3 linked regions of the Oryctolagus cuniculus genome follow. The protein of the gene in region 2 purifies or fractionates together with the protein of the main gene of each other region. This does not show direct contact. Links are inferred from orthologs where the notes say so. Each region holds a gene or a part of one and is shown on either strand. Other genes may lie near its edges.

Region 1 (7,324 bases), on a different chromosome or scaffold from region 2:
AACCTTAAGAGGTTTTTCAAATGAAGACATCAACTCTTGCATCATAATGTAGAGAAGATTTTACTAAGTGTAGACTTACCTAGCATGCTTTTCTAGTGATTTTGGCCATATCCCTCTAATGCTATCCAATTTTAGTGAACAAATATTCAGTTTACCTGATATTTACTTCAAAGAGAATGTTCTTCTGAAAGTGAGAGAAAACCAAACCATTCATGTTGTAGAATGTAAATGATCCAGTCAGATCTGTGTTTATGAAGCTCTTTCCATCCCAAATATCCCCTCTGAGGGCTGCCTGAAGTGGAGGGTGAGCTGAGCTTCAAGTCCCTCTGTCAACGTATTGGGTCTGCTGCTGTCTGTGTTCCGTCTCAGATTGAGTCTTAACTGTTCCATGAAGGAAAAAAGTCTGTAGCGAAAACACAAAGAACTAAAGCCTGAGACTGAGTGATTTCTCCCAGGTCTGATCGGAACCCAAGCATATGTCTTACCATTCTGGTAGACTACTTTTGTTGTAATTTGTAGTATTTCTGTTTTTTAATATTCTGAAGACATAGTTGTCATGCTTTATTTTTTAGAACTAGCTGTTGTTGAAATATGTGCAAATTATAATCAAAGGTGGAAGTTTGATTTTTCTCAATTCAGCCTATTGGAACCCTTTAAAAGTATAGGAATGTTTTCCACATATTAAAATTTTTTTCCTTGTAGTTTGAAGTGAAGCTGATTTATTTATGCAGTGCTAAAAAATGAATACCTCAGTTGGTTATTGGAGACTTGGAAAAACAAAATAAATAAGAATGAAGTTGCAAATAAAATTAATGTGCCTCTTTTCCTAAGATTTAAGAAGAGGATTAATTTCAAGCATAAAAAAATGCTGTAAGAGGGAAAAACTAATCTGTTCTTTTTTTACTGTGAACAAAAAAGAAAATGTAGTCTTGAGTGATTTTTACATACTGTTTTCTCTGTGTACTGCTTTGCTTGCCCCATGTTGAGCTGGATATAATTGGCTTTATTCTTTTTTCAAAAATGATTTTTTAAAAAAGATTTATTTATTTATTTGAAAGTCAGAGTTACACAGAGAGAAGGAGAGGCAGAGAGAGAGAGAGAGATGTCTTCCATCCACTGGTTCACTCCCCAATTGGCTGCAACGGCCGGAGCTGTGCCAATCCGAAGCCAGGAGCTTCTTCCGGGTCTCCCACTTGGGTGCAGGGGCCCAAGCACTTGGGCCATCTTCTACTGCCTTCCCAGGCCACAGCAGAGAGCTGGATGGGAAGTGGAGCAGCCCATATGGGATGCCGGCACTTCAGGCCAGGGCATTAACCCGCTGCACCACAGAGCCGGCCCCTTGTTTATTTTCTTGAAAGGCAGAGTGACACAGAGAGAGGGAGAAACACAGAGACAGAAAGAGGTCGTCCATCTGCTGATTCATTCCCCAAATGCTGGCAACAGCTTGGACTGGGTCTAGCCAAAGCCCGAAGTCCAGAACCCAGTCAGGGTCTCCTACACACATGGCAGGGACCCAAGTAATGGAGCATACCACGCTGATTCCCCGGGTATGCATTAGCAGGCAGCTGGGTGGCAGGTGCAGGCAGGACTTGATCCTGAGCTCGCCCACATGAGATGTATGTGTTCCAGGCTGCTCTTAACCCACTGGGTTAGCACTGGGACTGCTTTCTGTGGGGAGTAGTCAAAGAGCTAATAGAGAACTGAAATCAAAGTTTACTTTTAGAGGTATCAGCATTGTCAAGGAATGAATAAAAAAAGCCTGATTGTCTTGTCTCTATATATCTGAATTCCTCACTAGGTTCTAAGCTTTTGGGAGTAGTGGTGAAATCTTTCATTTGTATACCTTTTGTTAGTATATATGTGCCTAGTATATGTTACAGTTTTTAATAATCAAGTTTACTGAGTTAATAAATTAAAATACCTTTGACAGAAATATTAAGAAACTGTAGTCATTTAGTGATATCTCCCTTAAAGTTAGCATTTGAGCAAAAAAGATTTTAAATTAGGGGCAAAACTTTTTTTAATGCTAATTTTATCTGCAGTAACGTGGTGCCATAAAAAAAAAACCTCCTTTATACCTCCTTTATGCCATCTTTTTTGATAGGATTGATTATATGACCAAGGCTTGGACTTTAAGGTTTAGTTAGTTTACAGGATTTTTTTTTTTTCCTTTGATAGAGTATTTTTTTCATCTGGGATCTTCCAGTTTGTATTTGTGTGATTGGGTCTAGCTTATGCCATCCCCCTTTTAGCAAACTCTAACCACTTGGCAGAGGCATTTGGGTTTGAGGTGTAAAGAGTTATGGAAAAAAAAGGACTCATAAGTAGAGTCGGCTTAAAACAGTGTTTTCCTAACTGCTTTCTTTAGAGTAACTTCCCAAGAGAATGGTCATGGTTTCCACACACCTCAGAAAGGTGACGATACCAGCAGTGCTGCTTCTGGTGGCGGTCTGGAGCACACGGCGAAATCCGCTCCCGCGCCTCACGCGGGGCAGGTGTCGGAAGAACAGAGCTCCCCGGCGGCGCTGGTGAAGAAGCCCGGCAGGCTGCGGCAGCAAATCGATGTGAAAGCCGAACTGGAGAAGCGGCAAGGAGGGAAGCAGCTCCTCAACTTAGTGGTCATTGGTAATGCCCTTTGTGCCTCCAGGTTCGCGAGCCTCACTGCCTTGTGGGGCAGCCCCGAAGCTCTGTGTTCCTCTGTGGGTGTAATGGACAGAAAGCAAGGAGCTGTTGCATCATAATGGCTTCCTGGTCACCCTGCGGAAATGATGCCGCGTTTCCAAGGAGGCTGGTGGACCTGTTGCCGCATTTTCATGTTGTGCACATTTTGAGAATGGCATGTCTTATTGAAAATTTTAATTTATAAAAATGAGGGAAATCTCCCCCTCTAAAGGGACATGCCCCCCCCACCCCGCATTTAGATGTTTTATCTGTCGTTTGTTAAAAATTGGTATTCAGTATACTCCATAAACACTGCAGTGAACTATTGAATTACACTGTCATGCAACGCCTCAGTGTGAACAGCTTGTGAAATGTGCCTGGTATTAATCTTGAATCAATTTTCCATAGGTCATGTTGATGCTGGGAAAAGTACTCTGATGGGCCATATGCTTTATCTCCTGGGTAATGTAAACAAAAGAACTATGCATAAGTATGAACAGGAGTCTAAAAAGGCTGGCAAAGCTTCGTTTGCGTATGCATGGGTCTTGGATGAGACTGGTGAAGAAAGAGAAAGGTAGTCACTATATTTCAGAATTTTCAGTTTGAAATGATATAGTCTTTTTAAATTAGTAATATGTGTTGAATATATGAAACATGCCATGAAATACTTTAGGGATTTTATATTCAGAGAGAAACTTCTAATTATCAGAGAGAAGTATTTCTTGTAATTTTCATTATAAATAGCTTCTTTGTACTCTCCCAAATTCTATGAGAATAAATCAAAGCTAAAACAAAAAACACATAGAAGTTAATTAGTAAAAACCCTAAGCTAATTATTCTATGGGAGAAGATCCTGTTACTACTTCCCTTTATGCCTGATTGCCTTGATATTGAATTTAAATTATGAGTTAAGACTTAATTTTATAATAGGTTGTAAAGGAAAGGCAACAGTAGTGAACTCTCTTCTTTCAGGATCAAAGTGACCATTATATCTAGATTACCACACTTACTTATTTTATACTTTAAATAAGTAATTAAACCCATAACCTGCCACTGAGATATAATTCAGTCAGTTACTCCCTTCTGTCTTTGTTACTATGTTCAATGCTAATTTGGTGAGGGGAGAGGTGGAAATTCTAGCAGGAGAATACAGCCACTCATATACTTCTGGCTAAAGTACAATATTTCTTGTAGTAGTGATATGTATTATTTTAGGGCTGTAAACGGTGGGAGAACCAAGGGCACCTTAGTGATTAAGTGTAACTGTTTCAAAATGATGACTAAATTAAATTGCATTCCCCCAATTTCCTCAATCTGAGTATAATTAGAGATATTTAGATTTCTATACTTTTTTCATGGATATGTTTATTTTCTCATAGTCTTGGATAACCTGCATTATAATATATAAGGTAATCATTGGTAAAACTGGTCACAATGTTCCTTAGCTCTTCTAATAAGTAGGACTTTATATCATAGCAGGTTTTTATCCCCTTGTAAGTGTCTTATAAATTCTGTATAGCACCATGAACCTGTTTTCCACCTTGGTAAGAAAAATTAGCCGGACAGCTGCCAGTTTTTTGTAAACAGTAGAATTGTATATGACATCAGTATTAGAAGCATACATAATTTCTGCTTGTCAGCCCAACAAGCAGATTGTTAAAGTATATGGCTTTTAGTTTTCTTTGTGTCATCTAGTAAATAAGAGATTGGAGACAGTATAATTTGAGTGCAAATAATTTGGTCGAATTTAATTAATTTGTGAATTAAGCTGGCAAGTTAGCTAATGATCTGATTCCTATAATCATCACTCATTTTAGGGGTCTTTTTTGGATGATGTTGCTGCTTACTGACTGTTGTACTTTTACTGCTACTAGTCTTCGGTTTCTCAGGATGATACTATTTTTAGAATATCCCTTTATTACATAGATTAGTCATGGTTCATCACTATTCTGAAATGCCGTGATCCATAGGTTATTTGGAGATTATTAAGGAGAACTATACCTCACTTTGGCCCATCACTTCAGATTAAACTCAGATGCCATGACTGAGGAAACCATAGTCACCTGACTCTGAGGGGGGACCTGAGTTCATTAGAATCGTTGGGACTCGTGAAAATGAAAGAGAGGGCTGTCATCCACTGCTTTGGATGATGCAGCGGGTACTACGATGATTGCCCACCCGAGTTCCTCTTCTAAGTTCCAGAGGTCAAGAGTGATTCAGTGACCTTGTGGACCTTCCCTCAGCTTCCCTATAATCTCAATCTACATTCTTGTGACTGAAAAGAGGCGTTCATTGTGTCTGGTCTCCAGAGGAGATGGAAAGGCACACAAAGTAAACTGCCATTCATTTCTCTCAGTTTTTAAAAAGTTAGGTCTCCTTGGATTCTCCATATTTTCTAAATGCATTACTTACTGACTAACCTTGCAAATGAGAATTTCACAAGTTTATTTGTATAAATAGGTGAGGTATAACCATGAAACATAAGGACATTACCTGTTGATAGTGATGAGTTTTCATGTTGTCTTTTCTCATGTGCAGTATTTATTTTCCCCCCACTAGAGATGTCCCCATATATTTTTCTTTATTTATACTTCATACTATTTCTTACTAAAACATAAAAAAGCAAGGAAATGGGAAATAACAATCCTTTTGATTGAGTTCTTGCTGTATCCACAACCTTGTTTTAATGCCATAGAAGTATAATTGTATTTAGCAGAAATTCCAGCCCTAATTGATACTTTAATTATTCAAAATAATGATTTATGTAATAAAATTCGCATTGTTACTTGTCAGCCTATAGTTTAATGATTTAATCCATAGAACTCTTGTTTTATATAGTGCATTCTAACAATGTTTTGTTTTGTTTAAGGGGAGTAACGATGGATGTTGGTATGACAAAGTTTGAAACCACAACCAAAGTTATTACATTAATGGATGCTCCAGGCCATAAGGATTTTATTCCCAATATGATTACAGGAGCAGCCCAGGTACTAGGTATTTCCTTAATGATGGTGCACTGTTTGACTGTACATAAAAATTCCTGATTCTGAGGTTATAACTGAGATTTTAACTTCTAAAATATTTTAATATTAATAATTTTAAGTTTAAAAATTTTGGAAGAAATATTGTGTCTTTCATGATTTCTCTATGTGTACTTTATAAACAAAGAAATGTGTAGAAGCTAATAATTTCTGTATAGTAAGAATAGTGGAAAAGTACTTGATGAAGTGTAGCTTTGTATTCTATTTAATAAATTGAAGTTAGTATTTCAAATCTGCCTTATTTTACTCAATATATACTCAGTTTTCTATTTTTAAATTAAAAGCACTTTTACTTACTTATTTTTATTTGAAAGGGAGAAAGGGAGAGGGAGAGAGAGAGAGAAATCTTCCATCTGCTGGTTCACTCCCCAAATGCTTATAACATCTAGACTGAGGCCAGACCACAGCCAGGATCCAGGGACTCAATCCAAGTCTCCCATGTTGGTGGCAGGGACTCAACTTCTTGAGCCATCACCTGCAGCCTCCCATGACGCACATTAGCAGGACACTAGCATTGGATATAGAGCTGGCCCTCGAACCCAGGCGCTCAATATGGGGTGTGTGTGTGCTCCAAGCCTCATCTTATTTGCTGCACAAAACACCCAGCCTTTCTGTTTTTCAAACTAATTTATGCAGAGATAAGTAAGTTTGAGGGTCCCCCTCCAAGTAGTTTATTTGTTTATACTAAAAAATGCAATTGGCTCCCAGTTTCTTTTGGCTCCTACCTGTGGATTCAACCAATGCACATGGAGAATATTAAAAAAAAAAATCTGTACCCAAGACATGCAGATTGATTTTCCTTGTTATTGTTCCCTAAACAATATGGTATGACAGTTCTTTACATGGCATTTTCATTGTATTAGGTATTGTAAGTTATAAATAGATGACTGACTTGGGGTATATGGAAGGATATGCAAATACTACACAATTTTATGTAAGGGACTTGAACTTGGTATCTGAAGGGATCCTAGAACCAGTTTCCTGAGGATGCTGAGGAATAACTATAACTTACAGTTTTTAAATTTAGATCACTCTTAAATGAAGGATACTGGAAAAAAAATACCCAAAGATAAGTAACTTTAAATTTAAATAGTAGAAGCAGTGAAAATAGCAATATAACCATATGGCATTGATTTCTTTCATAATGGATGATTATTGAAAAACATGAAGAATTAACAAATTGGGCTCTGTCATGTGGCAAAAATGTGACTTTAAGCAGTTGACTATTTTCAGAGTTCCATTCATTGAAAGGGAATATTAAGGGCAGGCACTGTGGTGGTTAACCTGCAGCATGGGGGTATCTGCATCCTATTTTCTGAGTCCCACTTTGAGTCTCGGCTATTCTGCTTCTGATCTTGCTTCCTGCTAACGCACTCTGAGAGGTGGCAGATGTGGGCCCTTGCCACCCACATGAGAAAACTGGATGAAATTTTGGGCACCTGGCTTAGTTCTGGGCTAGCCTTGTCTATTTGCAGGCATTTGGGGAGAGAACCAGATGATGAAAAATAAATAAACATTTAAAAGAGAATGCATATGAACACTTGTCAACCTAAAGGGATGCTGTATGAATAAGTATGGATATGTTTGAAGATCAATGAGAAATTATTTGTTTCCATTTTAGA
Region 2 (6,965 bases):
CAGCAAACCGACAGTGCCGTCTGGTGACGTGCCTTCATGTTCAAACCATGCCGCACTGACTTCTAACCTGCCGGAAGTGCCCTGCCACTCTGCGGGACACGCGTGGCCAGTAACTTCCTCCGGCGATAGGAACAGCACGACTCTGCCTCCTCGGCTGTTTCACCTGACGAGTGACGCGAGTCAGAATCCGGCTCCAGCTCCCTGCAGTGGCGGAGACGCTCAGCCCCGTCCTTGCCCTTCTTTTAGGGTGTATCTACATGAAAGGCAGAGTTACAGGCGGGGAGAGTCTTCCACCCACTGGTTCACTCCCAGACGGCTGCAATGGCCAGGGCTCCGTCCCCCACACGCAGGAGCAGGGTGGCCAATCGGCAGCACCTCGGGCTACTCCCGCCTCACACCCCGGGGCCTCTGACCCTCACTCCAGCTGCAGGGCACACACATGGGTGCGTGCACGTCCGGGGCTGTGTTGTAGACGTCAAAGGCCGCCCCTGGATTCCGCGATTGGCTAGAAGAACACAGCGCTCAGCGTGGAGCTGTGCTCACAGCCAAGATTCATTCCGGAGAAAGGAAATGAGTTAAAGTCGGTGAAGGGAAAGGTTCACGGGATGAAGCAGGCATCCTCTCAGGACCAGGGTCCTGGTCCAGCGGGCTCACACGGGACACGGCCATCTCCCGGCAACAAGCGGGGACAGCGACCGTGCAGTGTGTCTACAGGGAAGCCGGCTGGAGCCTCCGTGCCCAGGCTGTGCATGGCCAGCTGGCACACAGGCACCTTGTGAGGCCTGGAAGGAAAGCAGCCGTTCCTCACAAGCCGAATGTTTGACAAACAGCCCAGTGAGCACTGGGAACCCTGAGGGCCGGGTTCCCAGACGCCAGTGCACTTTGCAGACCTGTCTTCTAAAGAGCGGGCCTGCTGGGCTAGCAGTTCTGCACAGGACCCTAGTCAGGCCCCCACCCGCAGTGCCTGCATCACGCACCGATGCTGGTTCACATCCCGGCTGCCCCACTCTGATCCAGCTCCCTGCTGTGGCCTGGGAAGGCAGCAGCAGATGGCCCAAGTGCTTAGGCCCCAGCACCCACGTGGGAGGGCTGGAGGAAGCCCCTGGCTACCACTCACCCACTTTGGTCGCTTAGGCTGAAGACTGGCACTTCCTGGTTACTCTGAGTCGTGAAGCTGGGGCTGCAGCGGTGGCAGGGACCCAGGGGACCGCAGGCTCCTCAGTATTTTCACCTCACCCAGTCAAGACAGGGAGGAGGACAGCAGAGGTCAGGCCGACACTCCAGCCCAGTGAGGACGGGACAGTGAGCTCAGGCCACCGAGGCAAGGGGCTGCGGCTGCTCTTCTAGCAGACAGCTTCGTCCAGCAGCAGGGTAGAGCGTGGGGGACCCAGAGTGGTCAGTGGCAGAGGACCAGCCCTCACGGCCGCGGCCACAGCCACTACGGAGAAGACGCTGCAAGCGCTGCACCTGGACCCTGGACCAGCCTGTCTGCATCGCCACGCCGTCCAGGGCAGCTGCGCTTTGTCCCTTCCCCTTAAGCCTGGGCCATGCGGTACGGCAGAGGCAACGCGGACTTCTGGGGCTGAGTCATGAAGTCGCCACACACGCGGCGCTGCCTTGGGAGCCGCCACCAAGCCGAGGGAAAGCCCAGGCTGCTTGGGGAAGCCAGGCAGGTGTGCGCCGACGGCCTGCAGCTAACAGCAGCGGCCACGGGGAGGAAGCATTCAAGACGGCGCCAGCCACCACTGAGCGCCAACTGTGGACTGTGCGAAGCTACCCAGGGACTTCCGCTCTGTGACAGCGTGCAGGTCCCGCAGCAAGAACCAAGCATGCACCAACCGCCTTCTGGAAGGGTGCGGGCATCTGCACCCTCAAAGGGGACGCGGGCACTGTGGGAGCTGGGCGTACGGGAGGCAAGAGCCCGGGAGCACGGGACCGGCGCCCGCGTCTCCTCTCCTCTCCGGCGCGCCTCTTTCCACCTGCAGACTGCGGTGGGATGCGGCCCAGCGGAGGCAGGTGCTGGCCGCACAGGTCCGGGCCCCTTCCCACGGACACGGTCAGTTCCCAGGCTCGGTGGGAAAGCAGCAGAGCTCGCGCTGCCCTGCTTGCGGCCTTCGCCCCGAAGCCCCTGCCCTCGGGGTGCGCTCTCCGCGGCCACCACGCAGCCCTGCAGGACCACGCGAAGGGATTCCGCGCTGTTTTGTGCAACACAAAAAGGTGCGTACGAGGGAACAGGCTCAGCGCCCCCAGAGCCGCGGGGTGACAAGCGCCTGAGGGAGTCACAACTCCGCGGATACGACCGTATCGTACGAGGTCGCGCCCAGCTTTTAAACTCAACAAAAGTTAGAACGGCAAGGAACCGAGAGAACGGAGCCCCGCCAGCTCCGGCGGCCGCGGCAGGCCGCCCGGGACCGCGGCGCCGGAAGTGACGCCACACCGCGCGGAGCCGCGGGCCTCAGGGACCGGAAGTGCGGCCTGGCCGCCGGAAGTGCCGGGGCTGATGGGAGGTGTAGTTCTCCGGCCGGCCGAGCGCGGAGCGGGCGGCCGCGAGCATGGCGGGCCTGGAGCTCTTGTCGGACCAGGGCTACCGGGTGGACGGACGGCGCGCCGGGGAGCTGCGCAAGATCCAGGCGCGGATGGGGGTGTTCGCGCAGGCCGACGGCTCGGCCTACATCGAGCAGGGCAACACCAAGGCGCTGGCGGTGGTGTACGGGCCGCACGAGGCGAGTGAGCGGGCGGCGGCGGCGGCGCGCCCTCGGAGCGAACGCCCACCGGCCGCCGTGCGGCGCTTCGCGTGCCGGGCGCTCTCGCTCCCTTACCTCGACGGCCCGGCCCGCGGCAGTCCACACGCGCTGCCTGTCGGCGCGAGCAGTGGGCGGACTGGGGTGGGGAGAGCCGGGCACCCGTCCGCCGTGAGGCTTTCCCAGGGTTTGGGGTTTCACTCCCCGCGCAGTGGGGAGGCGGGGGTTGAGGTGCAGCTCCCACAGAACCCGCGTAGCCCCGGGGAGTGGGTTAGGGACGCGCGCCCGAGGCGACTGGCGGCGCTGGGCGAGCAGCCGCTGCGGACTAGGGCGGGGGCCGGGGGCCTGGGCCTGGCTCACGAGGCGCCCCTCTTCCAGATCCGGGGCTCCCGCTCGCGCGCGCTGCCCGACCGGGCCCTGGTGAACTGCCAGTACAGCTCGGCGACGTTCAGCACAGCCGAGCGCAAGCGCCGGCCGCACGGGGACCGCAAGTCCTGTGAGCTGGGCCTGCAGCTGCGCCAGACCTTCGAGGCGGCCATCCTCACCCAGCTGCACCCACGCTCCCAGATCGACATCTACGTGCAGGTGAGCTGGCCGCAGCCCCGCACGCGGAGGGAGGGGCTGCGGGGCGTGGGGCGGCCGCCTGACGCCCCTCGGGGGCCCTGCAGGTGCTGCAGGCGGACGGGGGCACCTACGCGGCCTGTGTGAACGCGGCCACGCTGGCAGTGCTGGACGCCGGGATACCCATGCGGGACTTCGTGTGCGCCTGCTCGGCCGGCTTTGTGGACGGCACAGCGCTGACGGACCTCAGCCACGTGGAGGAGGCGTCGGGCAGCCCCCAGCTGGCTCTGGCCCTGCTGCCGGCCTCCGGCCAGATCGCGCTGCTGGAGATGGACGCTCGCCTGCACGAAGACCACCTGGAGCAGGTGCTGGAGGCGGCTGCGCAGGCTGCGCGCGGCGTGCACACCCTGCTGGACCGCGTCGTGCGGCAGCACGTGCGCGAGGCCTCCATCCTGCTGGGGGACTGAACAGCGGCCGCCGGGCCCGTGCGGACCTCTCCCACGCGTGACCTGCTCCGGAGTCGCACCTGGAGGGCCGGTGCGGTGCGCGCAGGCGGCGGGAGGCGGCTGTGGGCGCTGTGGGCTGCACTGAGCAGCCCCTTCCCCCAGGAGACCCTGGGCCGTTCTGTCCCTTACCTTGAGCTCTAAAAGTACCACAACCTCGTGCACTTGCCTGCATTATTCTCCCCTGCTCGGCCCCTGCCTCCCCGCCCACCACTGCGCCCCCGTCACCCGCCCGAGCCCTGCAGCAGGGAACCAGGAGCTGCGTCTCCCGGACCACCTCGGGGACCCCCTGGCCTGGACAGGGGCAGCGCGCTCCCTACCGGCGACCTCGGTGCAGGGCACCCACGGCGAGGATTCCCCGTCCCGGCCTCCCTCTCCAAGCCCTTCATCCCCGTCGGCTGCTCGCTGCCGCCCTGCGCTTCACCTCCGTCTCCTGCCAGCCGTCCAGCTGATGCTTCCTCGCCGCCCCTGACCGGTCTGGCCCGTTCGTGCACGGTCTGGCCGAACTGGAAGCTGCCTCCCTTGCCTGGGCCCACCCCCAGTCAGCTGAGCCCGAGCCCCGCGGCCTTCCGGCGAGTCGCCGCTCAGAGCATGCGCAGTGGGCCTCCTGCGACCCTTCTGGCCTGGGCATGCGCAGGGGCCTCCCCGCCTTCTGGTCTGGGCATGCGCGGCGGCGCGAGGCCCTCTGGGACCGGAAGTGCGAGCGAGCGCGAAGCCCCGGGTCTGACAGGAGCCGCGCGCCGCGTCGGTGCCCGTACTGGTGGCGGGAGAGGGGTCGTGGGCCCGCGCCGCCCAGCCATGGGCCTCCTGTCGGACCCGGTCCGCCGGCGCGCGCTCGCCCGCCTCGTGCTGCGCCTGAACGCGCCGCTGTGGTAAGCGCGGGGCCGCGGGGCGGGGGCCCGGGCCGCGCGGCCCCGCGGACGCTGAGGCGGCCCCTCTGCCCCGTCGCAGCGTGCTGAGCTACGTGGCCGGCATCGCCTGGTTCCTGGCGCTGGCTTTCCCGCCGCTGACCCAGCGCACGTACATGTCCGAGAACGCCATGGGCTCCACCATGGTGGAGGAGCAGTTCGCGGGGGGGGACCGCGCCCGGAACTTCGCGCGCGACTTCGCCGCCCACCGCAGGAAGTCGGGGTGAGCGGCGGAGCGGGGGTCTGGGAGGGCCGAGGCCGAGGCCGGGCGCCGTGCTCACAGAGGCTCTGTGTCTCCAGGGCCCTGCCGGTGGCCTGGCTGGAGCGGACCATGCGGTCAGTAGGGCTGGAGGTCTACACGCAGAGTTTCTCCCGGAAACTGCCTTTCCCAGATGAGACTCACGAGCGCTATGTATTGGGGGAGGGGGTGTGGCTGGGGCCGAAAAGCATCTTGGGGTGGCATAGGGCGGGAGTCGCGTTGGGGGGTCCCGAGGCCAGGGGAGCCCCTGGGGAGCACGGCGTGGCCGGGCAGAGGGAGGGGCCCTGCACTGTACCGGGGTTCCCGGGCTGACGCTCCCCACCTGCCACTGTGTGCAGCTGGTGTCCGGTACCAACGTGTATGGCATCCTGCGAGGGCCCCGAGCCGCCAGCACCGAGTCCCTGGTGCTCACCGTGCCCTGTAGCTCCGACTCCACCAACAGCCAGGCTGTGGGGCTGCTGCTGGCACTTGCTGCCCACTTCCGTGGTGAGACTGGCTGTGGGGGTCGCTGCTGGCCTGGGACGGCTTGGTCGGTGCCCCAGCCCTGCTGCTGACCCTGCCTCTCACGTGCAGGGCAGATTTACTGGGCAAAAGATATCATCTTCCTGGTGACCGACCATGACCTTCTGGGCACGGAGGCCTGGCTCGAAGCCTACCACGACGTCAATGTCACTGGTAGGTGCCCTGCCCTGCCCTGGTCGCTGCCTCCACCAGCCCCTCGCTGGCGATCGCTCACTGTCCCTGCAGGCATCCAGTCGTCGCCCCTGCAGGGCCGGGCGGGGGCCATCCAGGCGGCCGTGGCCCTGGAGCTGAGCAGCGACGTCATCACGAGCCTCGACGTGACCGTGGAGGGACTCAACGGGCAGCTGCCGAACCTTGACCTGCTCAACCTCTTCCAGACCTTCTGCCAGAAAGGGGGGCTGCTGTGCACGCTGCAGGGCAAGGTGAGGCCCCGCCTGGGGCGCACAAGGCCTGCTGGGAGGAGGGCGCGCTGATCCTGCACCTGTTCCCCCGAAGCTGCAGCCCCAGGACTGGACATCGCTGGATGGGCCACTGCAGAGCCTGCAGACGCTGCTGCTCATGGTCCTGCGGCAGGCCTCCGGCCGCCCCCACGGCCCCCACGGCCTCTTCCTGCGCTACCGCGTGGAGGCCCTCACGCTGCGGGGCATCAACAGCTTTCGCCAGTACAAGTACGACCTGGTAGCGGTGGGCAAGTAAGTAGCTCTGGGCCCCTCTTCCCACGCCAGGGGGTGGCCCGGGGCCGGCCAGCTGTGACCCTGCCTCCCGTGCGGCAGGGCTCTGGAGGGCATGTTCCGAAAGCTCAACCACCTCCTGGAGCGGCTGCACCAGTCCTTCTTCTTCTACCTGCTGCCGGCGCTCTCGCGCTTCGTCTCCATCGGCCTCTACATGCCGGCCGCCGGCTTCCTGCTCCTGGTCCTCGGGCTCAAGATATCCTCCCCCGCCCCACTCGGGCTCTCCGCTTGGAGCCCCTCAGCCCCGGGGAGAATCCCTCATCCTGCTGGGGGGTGGTGGGGGGTGGTGCTGGGTCCTCCCGCAGACCGCGTCCTGGCAGAGTCCTTGACTGGCCACGCCCTGGAGCTGTGGATGCGGTTGCACGAGGCCGGAGCGGGCCCCGACGAGGCTCGGGGCGTGCCTGGGCCCAGCCTTGCCGCTCCCCCAGTGCAGGTGATGGCGCCCCCTCCTCTTCCGGGGAGGGCTTCTAGCGTCCTGCGCGGAGCCTGCCGCTGCCCCGCACCCCTATGTAGAAGGCTGGTGATGAGGGGTCTTGGGGCTCCCTGGTCCCAGGGCCCATCTCCAGAAGCCCGTGTGCCCTGCAGGGTGTGGGGCTGACCTCGCTCGTGGCACCTCTGCTGATCTCCCAGGCCATGGGGCTGGCCCTCTACGTCCTGCCGGTGCTGGGCCAGCACGTGGCTGCCCAGCACTTCCCAGTGGCCGAGGCCGAGGCTGTGGTGCTGACGCTGCTGGCGATTTA
Region 3 (7,324 bases), on a different chromosome or scaffold from region 2:
CTCTCTGCTAATGTGCCTGGGAAAAGCAGTGGAAGATGGCCCAAGTATCTGGGCTCCTGCCACCCATATGGGAGACCAGGTGAAGAACCTGGCTCAGCCTGGCTCTGTTGTGGGAACTTGGGGAGTGAAGCAGCAGATGGAAACTCTTTCTCTCCCTCTTTCTCTGTAACTGACTTACAAATAGATAAATCTTAAAAAAAAAAAAATTAAATGAAAATATGAAAGTAATCATGAAACAGGACATATGGAGACTACAAAAAAAAGGGTAGATATTCTGAAAAATAAGAAACAATATCTTAAGAGAAAAACAATAGTCCAATATCTATCAAAGAACCTGAATTCATTATTAAAAATTTTTCCAGGCTGGCACTGTGGCACAGAGCATTTATGGGCACCAATTCGTGTCTCAGCTGCTCCTTTTGCAATCCAGCTCTCTGCTGTGGCCTAGGAAAGCAGTGGAAGATGGCCCACGTGCTTGGGCCCCTGCACCCTGTGGGAGACCTGGGAGAAGTTCCTGCCTCCTGGCTTTGGATCAGCACAGCTCTGGCTGTTGCAGCCATTTGGGGAGTGAACCAGTGGATGGAAGACCTCTCTCTCTTTCTGTCTCTCCTTCTCTCTGTGCAACTCTTTCAAATAAATCTTTAAAAAAAATTACCTAAGTGGTCCAACATAACCTTGGTATAGCCAAAAGTTCAGTAGGTAGGAATCAGAAAGAATCTACCATGAAGGGCAAAAAATTAATGGAAGAAATCTACAAAAACCACTACGCATCAAAAAAACAACAATAAGAAAATAAATATGCAAGTCACTGACTCAGAGAAAAAGTTTACAGTACATATATCTGGCAAAAGACTTATATGCAGAATATAAACAAATGCTATATACAGAAAAATGTTTTTATCCCCCCAAAAAACCAAAAGAAAGCCCTACATAAGTAATGAATTTTGATTAATGATGTGCATGTTGAAGTGTTTAGGGATAAAATGTATTGATGTTCTTGTGAAATGCACAAGAAATACAGTGGCTTGATAGAAGTACGAATACAGAAGGGCAGACAAATAATGTGCTGTACAACACCAGAAAACGTAAAAAAAAAAAAAAAAAAACTCTCAATTTTTAAAATGGCCAGAACATTTGAAAAGGTACTTTACAAAAGTAGACAGAAAATGCAAATCAAAAACCATGAGATGCCAGTAGAACGGGTAAAATTTAAAAGGTACACAGTACCAAATGGGACTGTAAACTTCCAGATGGCACATGCTCCCGCAGTTCAAGGGTCCAGTGTTACAACCACTTTGGAAACTGGTCATGGACTTAAATATATGCCAACCTCATTACTCGGCAGGCACCATTCACTTAAGAGAAATGAAAATGTGTACCAAAAAAACCCAAAATAAAACAAAAATTGAATATGAAAGTTTATAATAGCTTCACCCACAACAGGCAAGCACTAGGAACAAACCAATGTCCATAAACAGGCGAATGCAACAATATTCTTTGGTTAACCTCTAAACCAAAACAGCAATTGAGAGGCCTGAGTTGTGGTACAGCGAGGTAAGCTTATGCTGGTACCCTATACAAGTGCCGGTTCCAGTTCCGGCTCCTCCACTTCCAATCCACTGTGTTGACATGTGCAGAGTGCAAAGTCAACTATGGGTAAATTAAATCTCAACACAAATTAGAACAGTAGTAATCCCAGATTGCATCTGTAGTCTTATTCTTTGTCACTAAGCTCTCACAGATTAAAAAAAAAAAAAAAAAAAAAAGCCAGCTCACATAAAATGTTCTTGATGAAGTAGTAAAAATTTAACTTTATTAATCTCAGTCTTTGATTGCTTAAAAAAAAAAAATATGTACAGAACACAAAGATTGGATTCTTTGGAAACAGATCCCGAGACAGAGTTGTACATGGACAAGTTTATCAGGGGGTTCTGTTCAGGAGAGGCCCCTCCACAGAGGTGGGGCTGGCAGATCAGGGAGAGGGAGACATGGACCTGCACTGTGGCTACCGAGGTCGCGGCCACCTACAAGAAGCTCTTAGAGTTAGGAAATCCCGTCAGCTGTTCCAAGTGGAGGCAAAGATACTTAACTCTCATTCCCTCCCACAGCCCAGCCACCACCTAAACGTGTTCCATGTTAGGAGGTGTTAACACTGAATAAGCCCCATGGTCATTACTGAATTACAGTCTGATACAGCTAATATTTTAAAAGGAAACTTCTAGGGGCAGCTGTCTGGACCACTGGTTCAATCACTACTGATGGAGAAGTCTGCATCCCACACCCCCAGATTGGGGTGCCTGGGTGTAAGCCCTGGCTCTGCTCAGGACTCCAGCTTTCTGCTAATTTGCATTCTGGAGGTAGCAGCGAATGAAGTTGAGTCCCTACCACTCACATGGGAGACCTGAACTGAATTCTGGTCTTGACTTACAGGCCTACCTGGCCTGTATCAGGCATTTGAGTAAACCACTGGATGATGGAAGGTCTCTGTCTCTCTGCCACTCAAATAAAAATAAAAATAAAAATAAAAATAAAAATAAAAATAAGGAAACCTCTAGATTTGGGGACACATAATCCTACAGATCAAGTTTCTAATTACACAGATAGCAGTAACCCTTTGGAACAGTTCAGATAAGCACAAAGCAGTGGGTGAGTTCCATATACTGAAGCACAGCCATGTACCAAACAGTTTCAGCTGATGCATGCATGTAGACATTGACCCCATAAGATTATACTGCTCAGTGACACCATGGATCTCTTCGTCTTTGGAAGTATATTCTATATATAATGTTATATATATATATTCTATATATATAATAATAATTAATATATATATAATATATATATTCTATATATAATGTTCAAGCTGCAAAATGGTCTAACGATGCATTTCTTGGAACGCATCCCCACTGTTAAGTGACACACGACTATTAGCGCCAACACTGATTGTGCCTTACACCTGGCATTGTGGTGACCGCTTTATGTACATTTTCTCATTTGCTTTCCACAAGGTATGTATCAGATACTATTATCGTGCCCCAAAGTGACAAAAGACAGGTTAAAGAACTCATCCAAGGTGAAAAGCAAGTGGCAGAACAGGGCATCAAACCCAGGTCTGCCTGCCTAGGGAGCCTAACTCATTCCGCTGTCTCTCTACATGGGAGTAAAACACAAGAACACACACATACGCCAAGGACAGAGGACCCATTTGCTCCTGCAGGTCTACCTCCCACCCTCTCCCCATGCTGGAGGTCCTGGGAGGGTGACTTGAAGGTAGCATACTGAGTGACTCCTTTGCCACTGGGTACCTGACTCCCTTCCTGCAGGATTCATTACATGGGGCTGGCTGTGCCCTTGAGTGAAGGTAGTAACTCTTGCAAGATGCTCTCTCCACACAGCCTGTTTCCAGATTTAGTAGTCACCTCCTCCTGGGCTGGAGAGGAATTATTTCCACTAGCCAAGACACAAGGTACCGCTCTGTTCCTAGGGGTGCTCCTACCTGCCTACAACTCGTTAAGCTGTGAAGCTCTCCTTACCTTTTCCTGCCAACATCCTGAGCTAACATACACACCTATACATAAACAGGATGCTGAGTGTTGGCAAGAAGTTACTATTTGCTTTTCCAGAAAAGGAGTCTAAAGGTCATTTTCTAGGAAGAACATGCTGTATTGCGGGATAGAAAATACTGGTAAGTCAGAAACAGTCCTGCCCTTCAATAAACAGCTGGAATACTTGCTGTGATATTGGTCCAGGCACAAAATTAAATTATGGCTCCTTACTAGTAATGGCTCCTTGCTCCTCCCTGACCTTCAATGCCTTCTATCTCTGACAGGTTCTGCTTCCCCCGAACAGCAAGCGGAGGAAACCAGGCACTTTCCTTCCATCCCTCCTGGTGGGACCTATTTTCTGTCTTCCCAAAAAGGCCCAGAGAAGGTTGGCCCGATGAAGAAGGGAATGTAACAGAACAAAAACCAGTTACAGAAAGGAAAGACGGGCCAGTGCCGTGACGCAGTAGGTTAATCCTCTGCCTGAGGTGCTGGCATCCCATATGGGTGCCGGTTGTAGTCCTGGCTGCTCCTCTTCCAATCCAGCTCTCTGCTGTGGCCTGGGAAAGCAGTAGAAGACGGCCCAAGTGCTTGGGCCCCTGCACCCACGTGGGAGACCGGGAAGAGGCTCCTGGCTTCACTCAGCACAACTCAGGCCATTGTGGCCATTTGGGGAGTGAACCAACGGACAGAAGACCTTTCTCTATGTCTCTCCCTCTCACTGTCTGTAACTCTACCTCTCAAATAAATAAATAAAATCTTAAAAAAAAAAAAAAAAAAAAGGAAAGACAAACATGCCTGAGGATAACAGCAGCGTCATCAGCGATCTGACAAAAACTGATGTAAAACAACCCCATAGTTCCTCCATGCCAGTTAAGAAAAGTTCCAAGGAGAAATGATAAACAGCTCCGTAAGTTTTCGAATGAATTAATGGATGATGTGAATGCATCACTCTTTCCTTTACAACCGTTTATAAGGACAAGCCGTCTAGAAGTGCAAGGCACAGCTGAGTGAGTTATGCCAGCCTCAGCACTGAGCAGCCGAGGGATGGGTAAAGTCAAGACCTCTTCAGCTTCAGTTTCTTCTGCCAGACAATGTGCGGCACGGAGGGAGGCAGCTCGTAGGTTTCCTGTGAGCACTCAGTAATCAAGGGATGCAATGTGCTTAGCCTACTTCCTGGCACGCTCAATAGCCTAAGAAACTTACCTGAGTGGTAAGAAAAGTATCTACAGTTAGAAAAAGAAGACACCATTCCCAACAGTCTTAAAAGTTCGGCCTTGTGAGGAGTTCTCACTGAAACAACACTGCTGGTCTGAAGCACACACCCAACTTTTGGAATTTAATGAGAGAAAGAATATTCTAGCTACTTCAAAAGGTCCTCTGTTATCAGAGGTAAGGGCTATGTTCCTCCATTCAGTATTTTTAAAAGGGGATAATGGCAGGGAATCAGTAAAAACTTATAAACCACTTAGAACTTTTCTAAGTTTAATATTTATTTATTTTTTTTAGAAAACTACTTAAAAGGCTGACTCAAGAAACTGAAGAGAACCTATTTTATGGGCTTTCTGTCACAGGAGTGACGAGTCACATGACAAGGATTTCCCTCTGAATGTCCCAAGAATCATCAATATATATCCAAATAAACCTACTCTTTCTCTTTCAGCTCTGGCAAATCCAAGTACCAGTGTTCTTCACTAATGATCTTCTTCTCTTCCTCTTCGAGCTGCTTCTTGGTTTCCGAGTCCAATCCCCTTTGCATGAACTGTAAAAGCAAAACAGAATCGGTGTCAGCACTCTCACTCCCCTTGTGTAACTGCTAGTTAGGCTGGACCTGGTATACAACAAGGGTTCAATAAAGGGTCTCTGAGTATAAATGAGTCTGCATGTCTTATTTTTCCAGATTATCTTTATTGGATCATTCTCTTCATAATGCAGAGGCCTCATTTTATCACTCATACCTTGGTGGTCAAACTCATCAATCCTGACCAACTGACCTTTGATCTCCCATTATGATCAAGTAGCTGTTTTTTATGATACATTCTGTAGATCTGGAAATGACAGAACACCCTGTGAATATGAATCAAGCTTCTCCCAAACTCTCCTAACCCCCCAGCATCTGAGAACACACGGCAAAGCCAGTGGTCTAGCCTCCACTCAGAACTGAGGCCCACAGCAGGCTGGATGTGTGCTGCAAATATAGTTTTCCTGTAACATAGCCATGCTCATTTGGCCTAGTTCACAAGCTTAAAAACATTTACTATCTGACCCTTCACAGACAAAGTTCAGGGCCAGCGCTATGGCGTAAGGCATAAAGCCACCACCTGCGGTGCCAGCATCCCATATAAGTGCCAGTTTGAGTTCTGGCTGCTCCACTTCTGGTCCAGCTCTCTGCTGTGGCCTGGGAAAGCAGAAGATGGCCCAAGTCCTTGGGTCCCTGCACCCGTGTAGGAGACCCAGAAGAAGCTCTTGGCTCCCGGCTTTGAATCGGCCCAGCTTTGGCTGTCGTAGCCATTTGGGGAGTGAACCAGCAGATGGAAGACTTTTCTCTCTCTGCCTCTCAAATAAATCTTAAGAAACAAACAAACAAAGAAGTTCACCAAGTCCTGTCCTAAGACTCCAAAAGAGTTAAAATTGCAAATACACATCCTCTCTACAATCACTGGGTCCTACTAGTGACTTTCCACCTGTATCCTTCTTTTTCTACTTCCCACCAAGAGCTTCCTCCTCCAACAGTTAACTCAATCAAAAGAGTTAAAGAACACTGAAAACAAATGAGTCAGTGCTCTCATACTTGCCCTCTACTTGGCTCTAGCTGAACAGTTACGGCAGCTATAATCATATCCGGGGCACAGATGCCCCATGCCTTCACGCAGGACACTCCACTCCATCGGCATGTTTAGTGTCTCCTGCCATCCTATCAATAAGCTCTTTCTTACCAATGACCAAAGCTGCTAACCCCAAATAGAGAATGTGGATAATTTTTTTGCCCTCTCCTCTGCTCCTACATCCAGTTAAGTCTTCCTCTTCCCTTCTGCTTGGATGGGGGTAGTAACTGTTTTAAGTTCATTTCCTTCTTGTTAACTGCAGAGTCAGCTCTTCAGACACAGCCCTAGTTCACCAGCACATCTTCACTTGGCCTATTACAAGAACTAAATGAAACACTAAAATCTTTTCAATGTGTGCTCAATCAACTCACTCCATTTCTCTGAAATCGACGATTACAAACCACCAACAAAAGAAAAGTCTATTCAGTCAAGACTCACATGTTGCTCACATGTATGAGACAACTTTACCAGCTGTAAGTTACGCAACAATTTGACTCCATCCAGTACTCATCCTGGTACATCCTGAACGCCAGTCACACCTTGCACAAGCGCTGTTTACTCTCCATTACTGATGCCTTGTTTTTCCTGGACATTCCAGCACTATATAGGCACGACATCTAACAGTCTGCATCCAGAAGTAGTGACAGGCAGCAAAGGGTAGTACTTAAGATCAGGGGTTCAGGACCTGGATGCCCAAGTTAGTACTCAGTCACTGTGTAACTGCGGTAAGTTACCTACTGCTGTTTGGTTGCCTCAGCTGTACAAGAAAGATAATGGCTGTAGCCACCTCAGAGGGTTACTATGTAAATTACATGGGCTAATAGATAGATGCAAGACACTTAAAATCCACCTGGCACACAGCAGAGACTAAGAGCCATGAATGAAGTCTTCAGGCTTTGCTGCTTCCCTGTGGTCATTCCCGGGTTCGTTTTATCCACTGCCTCCTTTTTAACTTTT

The links. Proteins that work in one complex are often made in the same cells at the same time.
Region 1: the proteins of EXOSC4 (region 2) and HBS1L purify together in Homo sapiens (affinity purification with mass spectrometry; 3 studies listed by BioGRID and IntAct, with this or other methods). This does not show direct contact. The link is inferred for Oryctolagus cuniculus from reciprocal best matches to the Homo sapiens genes EXOSC4 and HBS1L.
Region 3: the proteins of EXOSC4 (region 2) and MPHOSPH6 purify together in Homo sapiens (affinity purification with mass spectrometry; 7 studies listed by BioGRID and IntAct, with this or other methods). This does not show direct contact. The link is inferred for Oryctolagus cuniculus from reciprocal best matches to the Homo sapiens genes EXOSC4 and MPHOSPH6.

What each region holds. Positions count from the first base shown.
Region 1 is NC_091436.1:33,926,278-33,933,601, forward strand, and holds part of HBS1L (HBS1-like protein), read left to right. Parts: intron 1-2,368; coding exon 2,369-2,625; intron 2,626-3,069; coding exon 3,070-3,235; intron 3,236-5,530; coding exon 5,531-5,648; intron 5,649-7,324. UniProt on the Homo sapiens protein: GTPase component of the Pelota-HBS1L complex, a complex that recognizes stalled ribosomes and triggers the No-Go Decay (NGD) pathway.
Region 2 is NC_091437.1:167,907,988-167,914,952, forward strand, and holds EXOSC4 (exosome complex component RRP41), read left to right. Parts: upstream 1-2,477; 5' UTR 2,478-2,552; coding exon 2,553-2,723; intron 2,724-3,119; coding exon 3,120-3,326; intron 3,327-3,409; coding exon 3,410-3,769; 3' UTR 3,770-3,967; downstream 3,968-6,965. Other genes in the region: GPAA1 (glycosylphosphatidylinositol anchor attachment 1 protein), read left to right, coding at 4,397-4,677, 4,757-4,936, 5,014-5,125, 5,311-5,458, 5,546-5,647, 5,720-5,916, 5,990-6,186, 6,268-6,421 and 2 more. UniProt on the Homo sapiens protein: Non-catalytic component of the RNA exosome complex which has 3'->5' exoribonuclease activity and participates in a multitude of cellular RNA processing and degradation events.
Region 3 is NC_091449.1:64,153,668-64,160,991, forward strand, and holds part of MPHOSPH6 (M-phase phosphoprotein 6), read right to left. Parts: intron 5,305-7,324; coding exon 5,192-5,304; intron 1-5,191. UniProt on the Homo sapiens protein: RNA-binding protein that associates with the RNA exosome complex. Involved in the 3'-processing of the 7S pre-RNA to the mature 5.8S rRNA and play a role in recruiting the RNA exosome complex to pre-rRNA; this function may include C1D.